Arabidopsis thaliana: one gene and its partners. The protein of the gene in region 1 interacts with the protein of each later gene in a biochemical or structural test. Each region holds a gene or a part of one and is shown on either strand. Other genes may lie near its edges.

Evidence for each region. The genes of interacting proteins can lie anywhere in the genome.
Region 2: the proteins of CDKB1;1 (region 1) and CYCD1;1 form a complex in vitro, tested with the Arabidopsis thaliana proteins (one study listed by BioGRID).
Region 3: the proteins of CDKB1;1 (region 1) and CKS1 form a complex in vitro, tested with the Arabidopsis thaliana proteins (one study listed by BioGRID).

What each region holds. Positions count from the first base shown.
Region 1 is NC_003074.8:20,057,504-20,062,023, reverse strand, and holds CDKB1;1 (cyclin-dependent kinase B1;1), read right to left. Parts: upstream 2,354-4,520; 5' UTR 2,143-2,353; coding exon 1,515-2,142; intron 1,421-1,514; coding exon 1,351-1,420; intron 1,148-1,350; coding exon 1,009-1,147; intron 867-1,008; coding exon 774-866; 3' UTR 536-773; downstream 1-535. Other genes in the region: AT3G54190 (Transducin/WD40 repeat-like superfamily protein), read left to right, coding at 24-265; FIP37 (FKBP12 interacting protein 37), read right to left, coding at 2,628-2,783, 2,886-2,941, 3,025-3,094, 3,240-3,401, 3,676-3,729, 4,107-4,154, 4,275-4,352, 4,443-4,507. UniProt on the Arabidopsis thaliana protein: May control G2/M (mitosis) phase progression. Plays a role in regulating seedling growth in darkness via regulation of hypocotyl cell elongation and cotyledon cell development. Plays a role in stomatal development. Required to suppress endoreduplication.
Region 2 is NC_003070.9:26,437,575-26,443,507, forward strand, and holds CYCD1;1 (CYCLIN D1;1), read left to right. Parts: upstream 1-1,981; 5' UTR 1,982-2,078; coding exon of another isoform or gene 2,079-2,222; 5' UTR 2,223-2,440; coding exon 2,441-2,713; intron 2,714-2,865; coding exon 2,866-2,952; intron 2,953-3,478; coding exon 3,479-3,577; intron 3,578-3,672; coding exon 3,673-3,874; intron 3,875-3,963; coding exon 3,964-4,100; intron 4,101-4,184; coding exon 4,185-4,406; 3' UTR 4,407-5,433; downstream 5,434-5,933. Other genes in the region: AT1G70209 (uncharacterized protein), read right to left, coding at 2,079-2,222. UniProt on the Arabidopsis thaliana protein: May activate cell cycle in the root apical meristem (RAM) and promote embryonic root (radicle) protrusion.
Region 3 is NC_003071.7:11,910,069-11,913,710, forward strand, and holds CKS1 (cyclin-dependent kinase-subunit 1), read right to left. Parts: upstream 1,735-3,642; 5' UTR 1,476-1,734; coding exon 1,423-1,475; intron 1,348-1,422; coding exon 1,287-1,347; intron 985-1,286; coding exon 835-984; 3' UTR 501-834; downstream 1-500. Other genes in the region: CKS2 (CDK-subunit 2), read right to left, coding at 2,392-2,529, 2,837-2,897, 2,992-3,044. UniProt on the Arabidopsis thaliana protein: Associates with cyclin-dependent kinases (CDKs) and plays an essential role in the regulation of the cell cycle that affects plant growth rate. May inhibit both the G1/S and G2/M phases.

The DNA.
Region 1 (4,520 bases):
TGGTGTTTTGTGGGATGATCCAGCGGGATCAATCAATATCAGCAATATATTGACTGGGAAATGCTTAGCTAAAATAACACCAAGCAGTGGGCCTCCAAAAGATGATGAGAGCAGCAGCAGTAATTGTATGGGAAAGAACTCAAAGCAAAGAAGAAACGCTGTAGCTGAAGCTTTGGAAGACATAACCGCTCTTTTCTACGACGAAGAACGCAATGAGATATACACAGGAAACAGACACGGCCTTGTTCATGTGTGGTCCAATTGATTTCACATACATCGTCATCGTTAGCTGCTACTACTACTACTACGAATGTATCATTTGGTTTCCTTCAATTGTGTGTAGCGATAAATCTTTTTAACTTAGTGTCTTTGAGCAGCCATCTGTGTTGTAAACCATTTGTGGGCAAGTGTGCGCGTCAGAATGCCAGTTGTGTACACTAATACCATTGTACGTAACATTTGGGTTTTGACAATTCTATGAAAGACCCTTTATTCCACCTGTAAGGTCTCACTTTAATTTTCAAAATTGACTTGATTCAGATAGTTGAGCATCAACTTTGTATGATTACACAAAAACAAGCGATTGATAGAAAATCATCTCATTGCTACCACACCATTGTGTTTTACATTCACTTGAGAATACAAGCTTTACCAGTTTCTTCTGAAAGACTACAAATCTCTAAACCAAACATAAGACACTAATGTGTCGGAAACAAAGATAGATCAAATGTTTAAATTCACCAAGACGATGACAACAGATACAGCAATGAACTTCAGAACTGAGACTTGTCAAGGCTGTCAAAATATGGGTGATCAAGTGCTGTTTTTGCTGAAATTCTTTCGGCTGGATTGTACTTGAGCATTTTCTGCAATTGTACAAACATAAGCTCAATCAGAAAGATTTAACCAAGCAATTCAGCTTAGGAAAAAAAGAGGGAAGCAGAAGCAAGAGGTAACAATATTAGAGCAACTTTGCAACAAAGCTATGGTCATCAGGGAGTTATTTACCGTGAGAAGATCAACTCCTTGAGGTGAAAGAGAAGGAACAGCAAGAGTTAAGTCTTGCGGCTCCCACTTAGGGTAAACATGCCAGTCACGCAGTGTGGAAACACCCGGCCATTGCTGCTCAGTTGGTGTTCCTAGCAACCTCCATGAACCAAATAGGAACCATTAGTAAAGATCATAGTCTCTATTCAAGAATGCTAAATCCATTGAATAATTGGTCAAAGAAACCTGGACTATATAGAATCAGTTGTTCTCAATTGGTAAGCTAGCATATCATTCAGTGATGCAATTCACACTGAAACAGGACAAAACCAGAAGAAGTAATGGAAGGTAAATTCAAAATACCTGAAGATATGAAGCAATTGCTGAAACTCAGAATCACCAGGGAAAAGAGCTTGCCTCCGAACCATCTCAGCTATACAAATTCAAAGATTGAAACAGCATAAATACAAAATCACATCGCAGAGAGACGAATTCAAAAACATAAAAGCATAATTGAGACTACTAACCAAAGATACAACCAACAGACCACATGTCAACACCAGTTGAATAATGAGTAGATCCAAGAAGAACTTCAGGAGCTCTATACCAAAGAGTAACAATCTCATGCGTATAAGACTTAAGAGGAACAGTAAAAGCACGACCAAGACCCAAATCAGCAATCTTAAGAAGCTCTTTATCTTTCACCAGAAGAAGATTCTGCGGTTTAAGATCACGGTGAAGCACACCATGACTATGACAATGCGCAACACCTTTACAAAGCTGAAACATCAACTTCTGAATCAAAAAAGGCTCAAGAGGCTTAGGATTAGGTCCTTTCCTATACGAATCGATGAATTTCTTAAGATCAGTATCGAGATACTCGAAAACGAGATAGAGATTGGATTTGGTAGATTGAGATTTGGTTGATGGTTGATGAACATGTTCGACGCAGAGTAATCGAACAACATAGATCGATGTTGATAACATCTGGAGAAGCGAGATCTCACGAAGAGCAGTTGGTGGAATACCTTCTTCGTCCATCTCGAGACGAGTTTTCTTCAGAGCAACAAGCTTACCAGTTCCTTTCTCCATCGCTTTGTAGACTTTCCCGTATGTTCCTTCTCCGACCTTCTCTAGCTTCTCGTACTTCTCCATTTCTGAGAGGTTTCGTAAAATTGAACTGTGTTGGTTTCTGGACTTTTGATTAACCCTATTATTTGATCAGATTAATGAAGATGATGGATTGTGAGAGAGAGAGAGAGAGATGCTTTCGCTAAGATACTTCCACGTCACTTCGTTTTTCCCGCTCCTTTGGATTTTGAATTCGTTCGTGACAACTGCAACAGATTAACCTAAAGTCGTGACCTCTGTGAATGTTTTTGGGGAAAACTAATTGGACTCACTTATTTTGGTCTAATCTGATATCTACTCAGATGATTTGCGTGAGTTGACGAGTTCAAATTCTTCACGAGTTATATCGGGAAGCCACATATCGATATCGAAACACCAATGGTGCGAATTAAAACATATTAATAGAAGATGAAGATTAGAACTTTCTGTTTCATGAAACAGATAACGAATGAAGAAATGTGATTTTGAACTTCAAAATGTACAAAACATTTTTTGAAAGCTACAAATTCCTATTCTCCACCAGCAATTTCTTCTTTTGCATCTTCATCAATTTCATCAACTTCATCTTTCTTGTCACCTACTAGCTCAGACACAATTTCCAGTCCTTTCTTTACTCTCTCTATCTCCTTCTCTTTCTCTTCCAGTTTCTCTTGCAATATTATCACCTGAGATTTATCAAAGTCACATATTTCCAACAAAACCATAATCATTCTTCCGTTTTAAGAAAAATCTTGAGGAATTAAGAGATAAGAGAAAAGGATCAACACCGTTTCATTTGATCTCTCAACATCATTAGTTAATTCCTCCATGTGTTTGTACAGTCCTGCATTCCACAAAAATCCTCAAATCCAAATTGCAAACTCTACAAAAATCTTTGCTATAACTTAATATCAACATATGACTTACCTTCAAATTGACTTCTAAGTTCCGCGTTTTGAGACTTCTGCATTGCAAGCTTTATTGCTAGTTCATGAATCTGCCATTCCACATGAACATAGGCAAGCATCAATTTCTTTACCCTTTTCAGGGAATCATGTTTTACAAAGGTTGAAGAAGACTACTGCTTTACTATATAATTCATATAATTCCAGATTGAAGACTGAGAGTAGAACAAACTATACCTTTCCTTCGGCAGCTTGGTGCCCAATCTCCTCATTTTCCTCTTGCAGGGTTCTGCACTTTGCCATAAGCATCTTTCCATTCTTGCTTTGAGGAGTAAAAGTAACTGCTGCAATGTTGTCCTGGAGTTCCTTGATCTTCTTGTCTTTTTCCTCTACTAGATTCTGCATAATAGAAACATGGAATCAAACTTCATCTACTCTTTACTTAACTGCAACAAATGTACATTAACAAAAAGTTGGGAATGTTCGTCCTCAACTGTATCTACTACGACAGTGTCAGCTATCAGTTATTAAGGAATTATTCTTTCAGGCCATTCATAACGAAAGCGGAATTTTGTTCCGTAGATACAGTTTGGATTATCTAAGGATATATTACGACAAATACATCCTTATGAAAAAGTAGTCTAAGGGTAAATAGAAACGAGTAGGTGCAGACCTTCAGACGTGAAAATTCTTCATGAATTGCTGGATCCAGTAACAACCTCCTCGCCTACAAAGGTAAACAAAGAATAAATAATCTACACTGCTATCTGATCATGACAAGCTGCTAAATGACCATTGCAATTCAAAATTTATAGCCATTTCTTCTATTCAGACTTGTTAATAATTCAGATGCCAGGTAAAGGTTTACAAGAAACATGCGCTTATCATCGTATTCAGACTGAAATCTAAAAGGCAAGGAAAAGGTTTCCCTCTACATGCATCAAGGTCGAGGATGACCGTCATAAAAGGTACACTACGGCATAAAAAGCGGACTATGCCTAGAAAAGTCCAAGTTACTTCAACAGCTAACTTTTTTCACGATTTGTATTGTTGGCACAATTGTATAAATTATTCCAGAATCAAAACATTGGGAGAACTATATACCTGCATTGACGCTGGCTTGAGTTGAGATTTCAAATCGCGAACAGCTGACTAGAAATACAAAATACAAGACTGTGTTTAGCGACATCTATTCTATGTAATGGTCAAGAAAACATGTGATAGCATCAGTCAGGAATCAAAGTGGTAGGCAATGAGTTTCTCGAGAATTACCTTCAATTCTGCCATTTCTTGTTCCCGTTTCGCATATTGTACAATGCATGACGCTTCTTTTCTCTTTGCGATTTCTAACTGAAAAGAGAGAAACAACAACCAAACCTTATTTGAAAATCAAGACCTTCATATTGATATATACACACAAGTTATTACTCAAGTACAAACCTGTTCTTTCAAAGATTTCTCAGAAGATTTTAGGTTTTGAATATAATCAATCAAAAATCTTGGTTCTGGAAAAAAAAA
Region 2 (5,933 bases), on another chromosome or scaffold:
GTTCTCCTTTAAAAAGAGGATTCTAGAAATGTTTCCTAAAACTAACTCAATGTAGAGAAAAAAAACATATATTGCTGAAAATGACTCGACCCACTTGTTAACTATTCATTATATTTCTAGTAACTCAACATGGACTCATGATCATCATTGTATATAACAAAAAAAAATGCATTATTATGATTACATATGCAAGAGTATATCAATAGGGTCCGAGTTGACTATGCTACAGGAGAACGAAAAAAAACATTTCTTAACGAGTAGTATCAATTAATGTGACGATGATAGTATAAGATCATGTCTAGTGATATCATACGTACCATATAATTAGATCTGAAATAACCATTCAACAACGATCATTGACTATAAGGCAATAGCTCCCATGAATCGTCTTGATTTTCTTTAAGAAAATAAGACATTAACAAAAATGACGAACCCTACCACGAGAATGTAGTCAGTCTGATAAATTGTTGTAGGTTGGGAGGTGCATATTTTCCCTCCTTTCAAATTTCAGTTTCTTGACTTCATTAATGTTAATATAAATAAACATATACTGCATGATAAAAATGTTAATTTAACTGTAAATGTGAATGCAAATCTGAATGTAAGCCATATGTTTTAAATATTGTCTACCTAAACAGAGAAATGAATTAGTAGCCCAACCTAGCCATAACAAATAAATAATGAAGAAGGTCTTCTTCCGCCGAAGATACCAAAAATATATTATCTTCTATTTCAAAAAGTATCCCATTTGTTTCTAATTTCTATGGTACAATGTAGTTGTTGAATTGTAATTTTCTCAATGTTAATTTCGTTATCTACGTAAGCATTGTCAACTATTTACATAGTACATACAAGTGATAGTTATATATTAGCTCTTCCATAATTTTTAATTCTTATCAATATGAAAATATTGACAAATTTATACAAATCTGCATAGAAAACACATACAAAACAAATATGAAACAATGTTAAAAAAAAAAAAAAATATGAAACATTTTTTCTAATACACCTGAAAACTAAAATAAGGGGTAAATATATTAGAGGTAAGCGAAAAATCTACTACAATCTAAACCGAGATCATCCCAATGGTATAATTAAAGTCTAAAATCTAAATCGAAGGAGCAAAGTATTTTGTAAGGCACACGTGAAAGAAAGTAACTACGGGAGTGATTAATAAAAACGGGCCAATGATTTAACACTTTTATGGCATAATTAAACCAAGAAGGGACCAAATAAATATGACATATTGATACAAAAAGGAATGTGAAGAAAATCTCCGGTTCTACGAAAAGGACTTCCACTACTCTTTCCCACACGCTCCAGACCACTGTTTGCTTTCCTCTGATTAACCAATCTCAATTAAACTACTAATTTATAATTCAAGATAATTAGATAACCAATCTTAAAATTTGGAATCTTCTTCCCTCACTTGATATTACAAAAAAAAAACTGATTTATCATACGGTTAATTCAAGAAAACAGCAAAAAAATTGCACTATAATGCAAAACATCAATTAATTACATTCGATTAAAAAATCATCATTGAATCTAAAATGGCCTCAAATCTATTGAGCATTTGTCATGTGCCTAAAATGGTTCAGGAGTTTTACATCTAATCACATAAAAAGCAAACAATAACCAAAAAAATTGCATTTTAGCAAATCAAATACTTATATATATACGTATGATTAAGCGTCATGACTTTAAAACCTCTGTAAAATTTTGATTTATTTTTCGATGCTTTTATTTTTTAACCAATAGTAATAAAGTCCAAATCTTAAATACGAAAAAATGTTTCTTTCTAAGCGACCAACAAAATGGTCCAAATCACAGAAAATGTTCCATAATCCAGGCCCATTAAGCTAATCACCAAGTAATACATTACACGTCACCAATTAATACATTACACGTACGGCCTTCTCTCTTCACGAGTAATATGCAAACAAACGTACATTAGCTGTAATGTACTCACTCATGCAACGTCTTAACCTGCCACGTATTACGTAATTACACCACTCCTTGTTCCTAACCTACGCATTTCACTTTAGCGCATGTTAGTCAAAAAACACAAACATAAACTACAAATAAAAAAACTCAAAACAAAACCCAATGAACGAACGGACCAGCCCCGTCTCGATTGATGGAACAGTGACAACAGTCCCGTTTTCTCGGGCATAACGGAAACGGTAACCGTCTCTCTGTTTCATTTGCAACAACACCATTTTTATAAATAAAAACACATTTAAATAAAAAATTATTAAAACCTCAAAAAATCTCTGTTTCTTGTTTATATATCCAAACAAATGAATGTGTTAAACCTTCACTCTTCTCTCCACACAAAATTCAAAAACCTCACATTTCACTTCTCTCTTCTCGCTTCTTCTAGATCTCACCGGTTTATCTAGCTCCGGTTTGATTCATCTCCGGTTATGGGGAGAGAATGAGGAGTTACCGTTTTAGTGATTATCTACACATGTCTGTTTCATTCTCTAACGATATGGATTTGTTTTGTGGAGAAGACTCCGGTGTGTTTTCCGGTGAGTCAACGGTTGATTTCTCGTCTTCCGAGGTTGATTCATGGCCTGGTGATTCTATCGCTTGTTTTATCGAAGACGAGCGTCACTTCGTTCCTGGACATGATTATCTCTCTAGATTTCAAACTCGATCTCTCGATGCTTCCGCTAGAGAAGATTCCGTCGCATGGATTCTCAAGGCGAGCCTATTCACTTTTTTTCTCTACCTCTCATTTTTTTCAATGCTAAAATACGCCGCCGGAGAGTGTGTAGACGCTAAAATACGCTGATCGAATCGTTACATGCAGAGAATCTTTTTTTTTACAGTAGTGTGGTATTGTTTGGTTTACAGGTACAAGCGTATTATAACTTTCAGCCTTTAACGGCGTACCTCGCCGTTAACTATATGGATCGGTTTCTTTACGCTCGTCGATTACCGGTAAATGTTTTAAAAACGTCAACGTTAGTTAATTCTATTGTCTCTGTTTTTTTATTATATTGATATGACAAATAACAACCCCAAAAAGTCAGTTTTATTTCCCTTTTTTTTTTTCAATGGATCGATTTGTTTATTGACTTTTCTTCAGAAAAAAATGAAAACGACTAAAAATTTATTAGAGCAAAAAATTATAATCGGTATAGAATAATTTAGTAGAAATTAATCTTATATTGGAATGTACGTAAACGATAGAACAGGAGCGGGCTGGGGAACTTTTTTTCGTTTTTTAATTATTTTATTGAAATTTATATTTTCGATAAAAAATTACATTGACGTTTACATAATAATAGTATACTTTTGCAGTAAACTTTCCACTTCATATATCGGCTTTATTGAAAACTTTGTAATCATAGTGTTAAAACGCTCCTACTACTATATAATATTTTAAATTAATTTTGTAATTAAACTTAATAGAGTATATAGTAATCAATGATTATATTAATCAGCTTTAATTTCTGTAAAATAGGAAACGAGTGGTTGGCCAATGCAACTTTTAGCAGTGGCATGCTTGTCTTTAGCTGCAAAGATGGAGGAAATTCTCGTTCCTTCTCTTTTTGATTTTCAGGTAAACATATATTATCATTCTTTCTTTAACATTCTGAATTTACTCTGTTTTTTTAAGAAACTTTAATTTATGTATCTCTGTATAATGTAATGTAGGTTGCAGGAGTGAAGTATTTATTTGAAGCAAAAACTATAAAAAGAATGGAACTTCTTGTTCTAAGTGTGTTAGATTGGAGACTAAGATCGGTTACACCGTTTGATTTCATTAGCTTCTTTGCTTACAAGATCGATCCTTCGGGTACCTTTCTCGGGTTCTTTATCTCCCATGCTACAGAGATTATACTCTCCAACATAAAAGGTACGTAATATTTGTATGATATATGATCCATAATGTCATTTAGGTAGCACATTTTTGGGTTGGTTCTAACACATGACCAATTAGTACAGAAGCGAGCTTTCTTGAGTACTGGCCATCGAGTATAGCTGCAGCCGCGATTCTCTGTGTAGCGAACGAGTTACCTTCTCTATCCTCTGTTGTCAATCCCCACGAGAGCCCTGAGACTTGGTGTGACGGATTGAGCAAAGTAGGATTTGTTATATCACGTTTAGATGGAACAAGGGAGTAACAGATTGCTAATTAATGTCTTTTGGTTATATTTGACTTTCAGGAGAAGATAGTGAGATGCTATAGACTGATGAAAGCGATGGCCATCGAGAATAACCGGTTAAATACACCAAAAGTGATAGCAAAGCTTCGAGTGAGTGTAAGGGCATCATCGACGTTAACAAGGCCAAGTGATGAATCCTCTTTCTCATCCTCTTCTCCTTGTAAAAGGAGAAAATTAAGTGGCTATTCATGGGTAGGTGATGAAACATCTACCTCTAATTAAAATTTGGGGAGTGAAAGTAGAGGACCAAGGAAACAAAACCTAGAAGAAAAAAAACCCTCTTCTGTTTAAGTAGAGTATATTTTTTAACAAGTACATAGTAATAAGGGAGTGATGAAGAAAAGTAAAAGTGTTTATTGGCTGAGTTAAAGTAATTAAGAGTTTTCCAACCAAGGGGAAGGAATAAGAGTTTTGGTTACAATTTCTTTTATGGAAAGGGTAAAAATTGGGTTTTGGGGTTGGTTGGTTGGTTGGGAGAGACGAAGCTCATCATTAATGGCTTTGCAGATTCCCAAGAAAGCAAAATGAGTAAGTGAGTGTAACACACACGTGTTAGAGAAAAGATATGATCATGTGAGTGTGTGTGTGTGAGAGAGAGAGAGAAGAGTATTTGCATTAGAGTCCTCATCACACAGGTACTGATGGATAAGACAGGGGAGCGTTTGCAAAAGATTTGTGAGTGGAGATTTTTCTGAGCTCTTTGTCTTAATGGATCGCAGCAGTTCATGGGACCCTTCCTCAGCTTCATCATCAAACAAAAAAAAAATCAAGTTGCGAAGTATATATAATTTGTTTTTTTGTTTGGATTTTTAAGATTTTTGATTCCTTGTGTGTGACTTCACGTGACGGAGGCGTGTGTCTCACGTGTTTGTTTTCTCTTCAAATCTTTTATTTTGGCGGGAAATTTTGTGTTTTTGATTTCTACGTATTCGTGGACTCCAAATGAGTTTTGTCACGGTGCGTTTTAGTAGCGTTTGCATGCGTGTAAGGTGTCACGTATGTGTATATATATGATTTTTTTTTGGTTTCTTGAAAGGTTGAATTTTATAAATAAAACGTTTCTATTATATGAAGGAAAAAGTACATTGAACTCAATAATGGTCGTGGAGAAGGTTAATAGCTACGTGAGAGGATAATATGAGTAGTGGTGAGATTTGATTTTGGTGTGGCCTGTGGGAGCACGAAGCATGTGAACATGTGTGTTGTGGATCGAGTGTATGTTTTATTGAACGACGAACGTAAAAAGACAAAAGAAAATTGTATTTGTTTAAGACCAAAAGAAAAAAAAAAGTATTTAATGTTCAAAATGTAATAACCTTCCTCATTTTTGCCATAATTAAACACATTTCTTTGTTTTTGTTTTTTTGGGCAAAAGATTAAGGGTTTTATATACCTATTTTAACAACAGTAAATATACAAAAGAAAATCAAATTATGAAAAAAACAAATTACAAAAGAAGTAAAAAATAGTGGTTAATTTCTCTCTTGATTTTAGTAAAGAGGAACAATTAATAGGAGCAGTAGCATACATGTGATGTTGATCTGTCTCCATGTCAGAGAAAGTGGTCTCACCACGAAACCATAACGTAGCTACACCGTTCTATCTCTCTCGAACCCCTCAAACATTAGCCACACAAAAATACCATCTTTGACTATCCATTTATATATGTATGCACACGATTTTACAAGTAAAAAAGGAAATAAGAAGTGAAAGAAAAAGAAAAAAACTTACTGCAAAACAAAACATTTT
Region 3 (3,642 bases), on another chromosome or scaffold:
TGACACTTTATTTTTACAAAGTAAATGTTGCTTTATAGTTTATACAGTATATAAAAAAAATATTTATTATGGACGAGTGCTATTTAACACTATGACACACATTTTACACACTTAATACATCTTAAAACAAAACGACACCCCAGTAATTACTGTTTACAATTTTGTCATTGAAACTATTTTCCAAAATATGTTCCAGATTTTGGCTATCTAGCAAACTAACCCCTAATTATAGAAAAGAAAGTTACCAATGTAAAGTTTTAGCCACACAAAAAGGAAAACCATGATAACCACAATAACATCTAATTTGATTTTCGAGTCATGTATCTTTTTACTCAAACCTCCATCCAGATTCAACACCATTATAGTTTGAGGATTTGATTCGATAGCAACTACGTTTGTGTTCTTCATTGAAATGTAAGTTTCATACTTTCGTTATCAACAAAAACAATGGTTATTCTACAAAACTAGAGCGTAAAAGTTATCAACAAAAACTTTCTTTTTCTCTTTCATTTGTGTTCATGGTTGAGTGGAAACATGGGACACATTGTTCTCAACTACTCATGCCTATCCAGTGACCATTTTACCAATATATCTAAAAATCAAACACATAGTTGGATGACACTAAACTACCACCAAATGTCTTGAGAAATAAGTAATTAAGAAGCAGAAGATGACATTAGAACCAAGACTAACATTACATAGAAGTTGTTCAACAAACCAACTCTCACATATTCATCCATAACCACAAAGATTCAAACCATGTTTACAAGAAACATAAACCAATACTCATAGAATTGTTGCATATAACATTCTTACTCAGGTGATGATAATGATTCACTTAACAAGCATGTTCTGAGCTTGATTCTCCTGCTGCTGCTGATAGTTAAGAGGCCTCCTGAATAGCATTATGTGCGGCTCAGGTCGATGAACCGCGTAATGTACCCATCCGCGGCTTTGCTGCACTCCTATCGCTCGCCATTCGTTCTTCGAAATTCCAAACATTTTTACCATCACCACCAATCAATACAACATTGAAGAGATTGCACAACACAAATGTCTAAAATCTCTTTATCACTAAACCTTACAAAATCCCAAAGCAAAGATTCAAAATCGTAACAGTTGCAATTTGGATTCAGAGCAAAGATTCAAATCCTAAACCTAAACGATCTCTTTTTCGATTTTTCCCAAACTTAATTTCTTAAGAGCAACAAATTTTCATAGTCTTCGATGATCTAATCGAAGGATTTAGAATCAGAAATCAGAGAACAATGCGGAAAAAAACTTACTTCGGAGAGAAGACGATTCTTTGGAAGAAGTTTAGCGACTTCAGGAGGAAGAACGACGTGCCTGTATCGATCGATTACGATTAGAGAAGTGAGAGTGAAAATTGGAGGAAGAAGAAGCGAGATTGAAGAGCTTTACCTGTATTCGAAAGTGTCATCGAAGTATTTCTCGGAGTATTGGATCTGACCCATTTCTCTCTCAGAGATGTGAAGCCTTAATCAGGAAATGGAGGAGAAGGGAAAGAGGAATTGAAGAATCTGTAATCTGATCGTTTGAAATTTGGGGAAGATAGTGAAAGGAGAATAAAGTGGTTTGGGGTAGATATGTAATTATGAGGAAATAGAGGGGTGTTTGATTAACTTTTTAGAGTTTTGAAATTCTTTAGAAGACGCCGATTGGGTATGAATGATTATAAACCGGTTAGTTACCAAAATGAATTGAAATTGGGTGGATTGGTTTGGTTCTAATTAAATTCAACAACTTGTTTGGTTGCTTTGACCAAAGACCTTGTTATTTACCATCAAACTACGAACTCGTTCATTTTCTCGAAATTTCATTTAATTCCAACAATCAGTGCTTCACACTAGGTATAAGATACATATCTAGTTAATTTATAAAAATGGCTCTGAATCTCCTGGTTTCAATACACTAATAGTAGTACAGTAAGGAATATATGGTGTTTGGTGAATGTGGTGATTGAGACACAATATGAGTTTCTTTGAATCAGTATCGCCATGAGAATCGTGATTAGACCTTCAGATTGGCATTGTAATGATACCTTGTTTGTTGTTCATAGTTATGGACTTAAGACTCTAAGAGGAGCAATAAAAAGAGGTTGAAATGATGAAACAAGCACATAAGCATGAGAAATAACGTCTTCATTCTTAACCATGAAGAAGTTCAAACGTGGATCCAACCAAAGTCTAGCAAAGGACCAGACTTAACATAACATTAAAAGTTGTTCTACCAAACTCACATGATTCTCCACTGAAGAGAATTCATGAACACAATAAAAAAAACTACAGGAACAAAACATCAGAGTAGTATTTTAAAACCTCGTTTACGAGAGACATAAACAGAGATTAGGGAGAATTTTGCATAATTCTTCTACTTAGCAATCTGAGCTTGGTGCTCCTGCTGGTAGTTAAGAGGCCTCCTAAAGAGCATGATATGTGGCTCAGGACGATGAATCGCGTAATGAACCCATCCACGACTTTGCTGCACTCCGATGGCTCTCCATTCACTCTACAAAACCAGATTGTAAAACAAGAAAACTGTTAACTTCAAAATCAGAAAACTGAGAATTGACTGATAACACAAAAAAATATCTAAACTATCTTCGTCACTGCTGACAATTACACAACCTAAAGTTAATAAACAAGTTAATGAGAAGCAAAACTTCAAATTCCTAAGCAGAAACTTCAATTTCTTCGACTCTCAAAAGTCCAAACTTCAATTTCCTAACTTAATTTCTTAAACATGTAAATCTCTTAGCCTACGATGATTCAAGGGTTATACAGCGAATAGAGGAAAGCCCTAATTTTTAACTTACTTCCGAAAGAATACGATTCTTAGGTAAAAGCTTAGCAACTTCCGGAGGAAGTACAACGTGCCTGAGAGAAAAATAAAAGACCACGCGATTAGACTGAAACTAAAACGTGAGAGAGAACTCCATTAAAATGGGAGGAGAATCAAACTGAGAATCACCTGTATTCGAAAGTATCATCGAAATATTTGTCGGAGTACTGGATCTGACCCATCTTCTTAAATCACCCAACAAACGTCTATTAAATTTACTAAACAAAAGAAATGGAGCAATCTGTCAGTAATCTAAACCCTAAACAACGACGAGAACCTAAACAAATCAGAAATCGAACCCTAATCTAAGAATCGGGAAGTAAAGCAGACCTTGAGAAGAAGTGCGATCGGAAACGAAATGAATTTTAGGGGAGAAGAGGGAAAGCGAAAGGGAATTAAAAAGGCATTGTGGTAAGGAAGTAATTATGGGGATTTATAGGGGCATTTTCTCAACGGGTGTTTTGATTTTTTTGAGTTTCAAATTTCTTAGAGGCGCTCCTTCCCGCTTAGTGGAGCCCTAAAATTTTGATTACGGTTCGACGTTAATCAAACCGGTATAATTCCCGGTTCAGAGATTCATTTCTAAAGGCATCAGTATCTTCCTCTTATAGTCAGAGTTCAGGTGTCCGTATACTCGCCGGCTTTGTATACCTCCTTTGTTCGATATATAAACATCAGTGACAAAAAGAAAAAGATTTCAGAAAATTGAATTTCATTTTTGGGCACTAATATACAAAAAAAAATTAGCTTCGGATAATCATGACTAAACCCCCAAAAGAA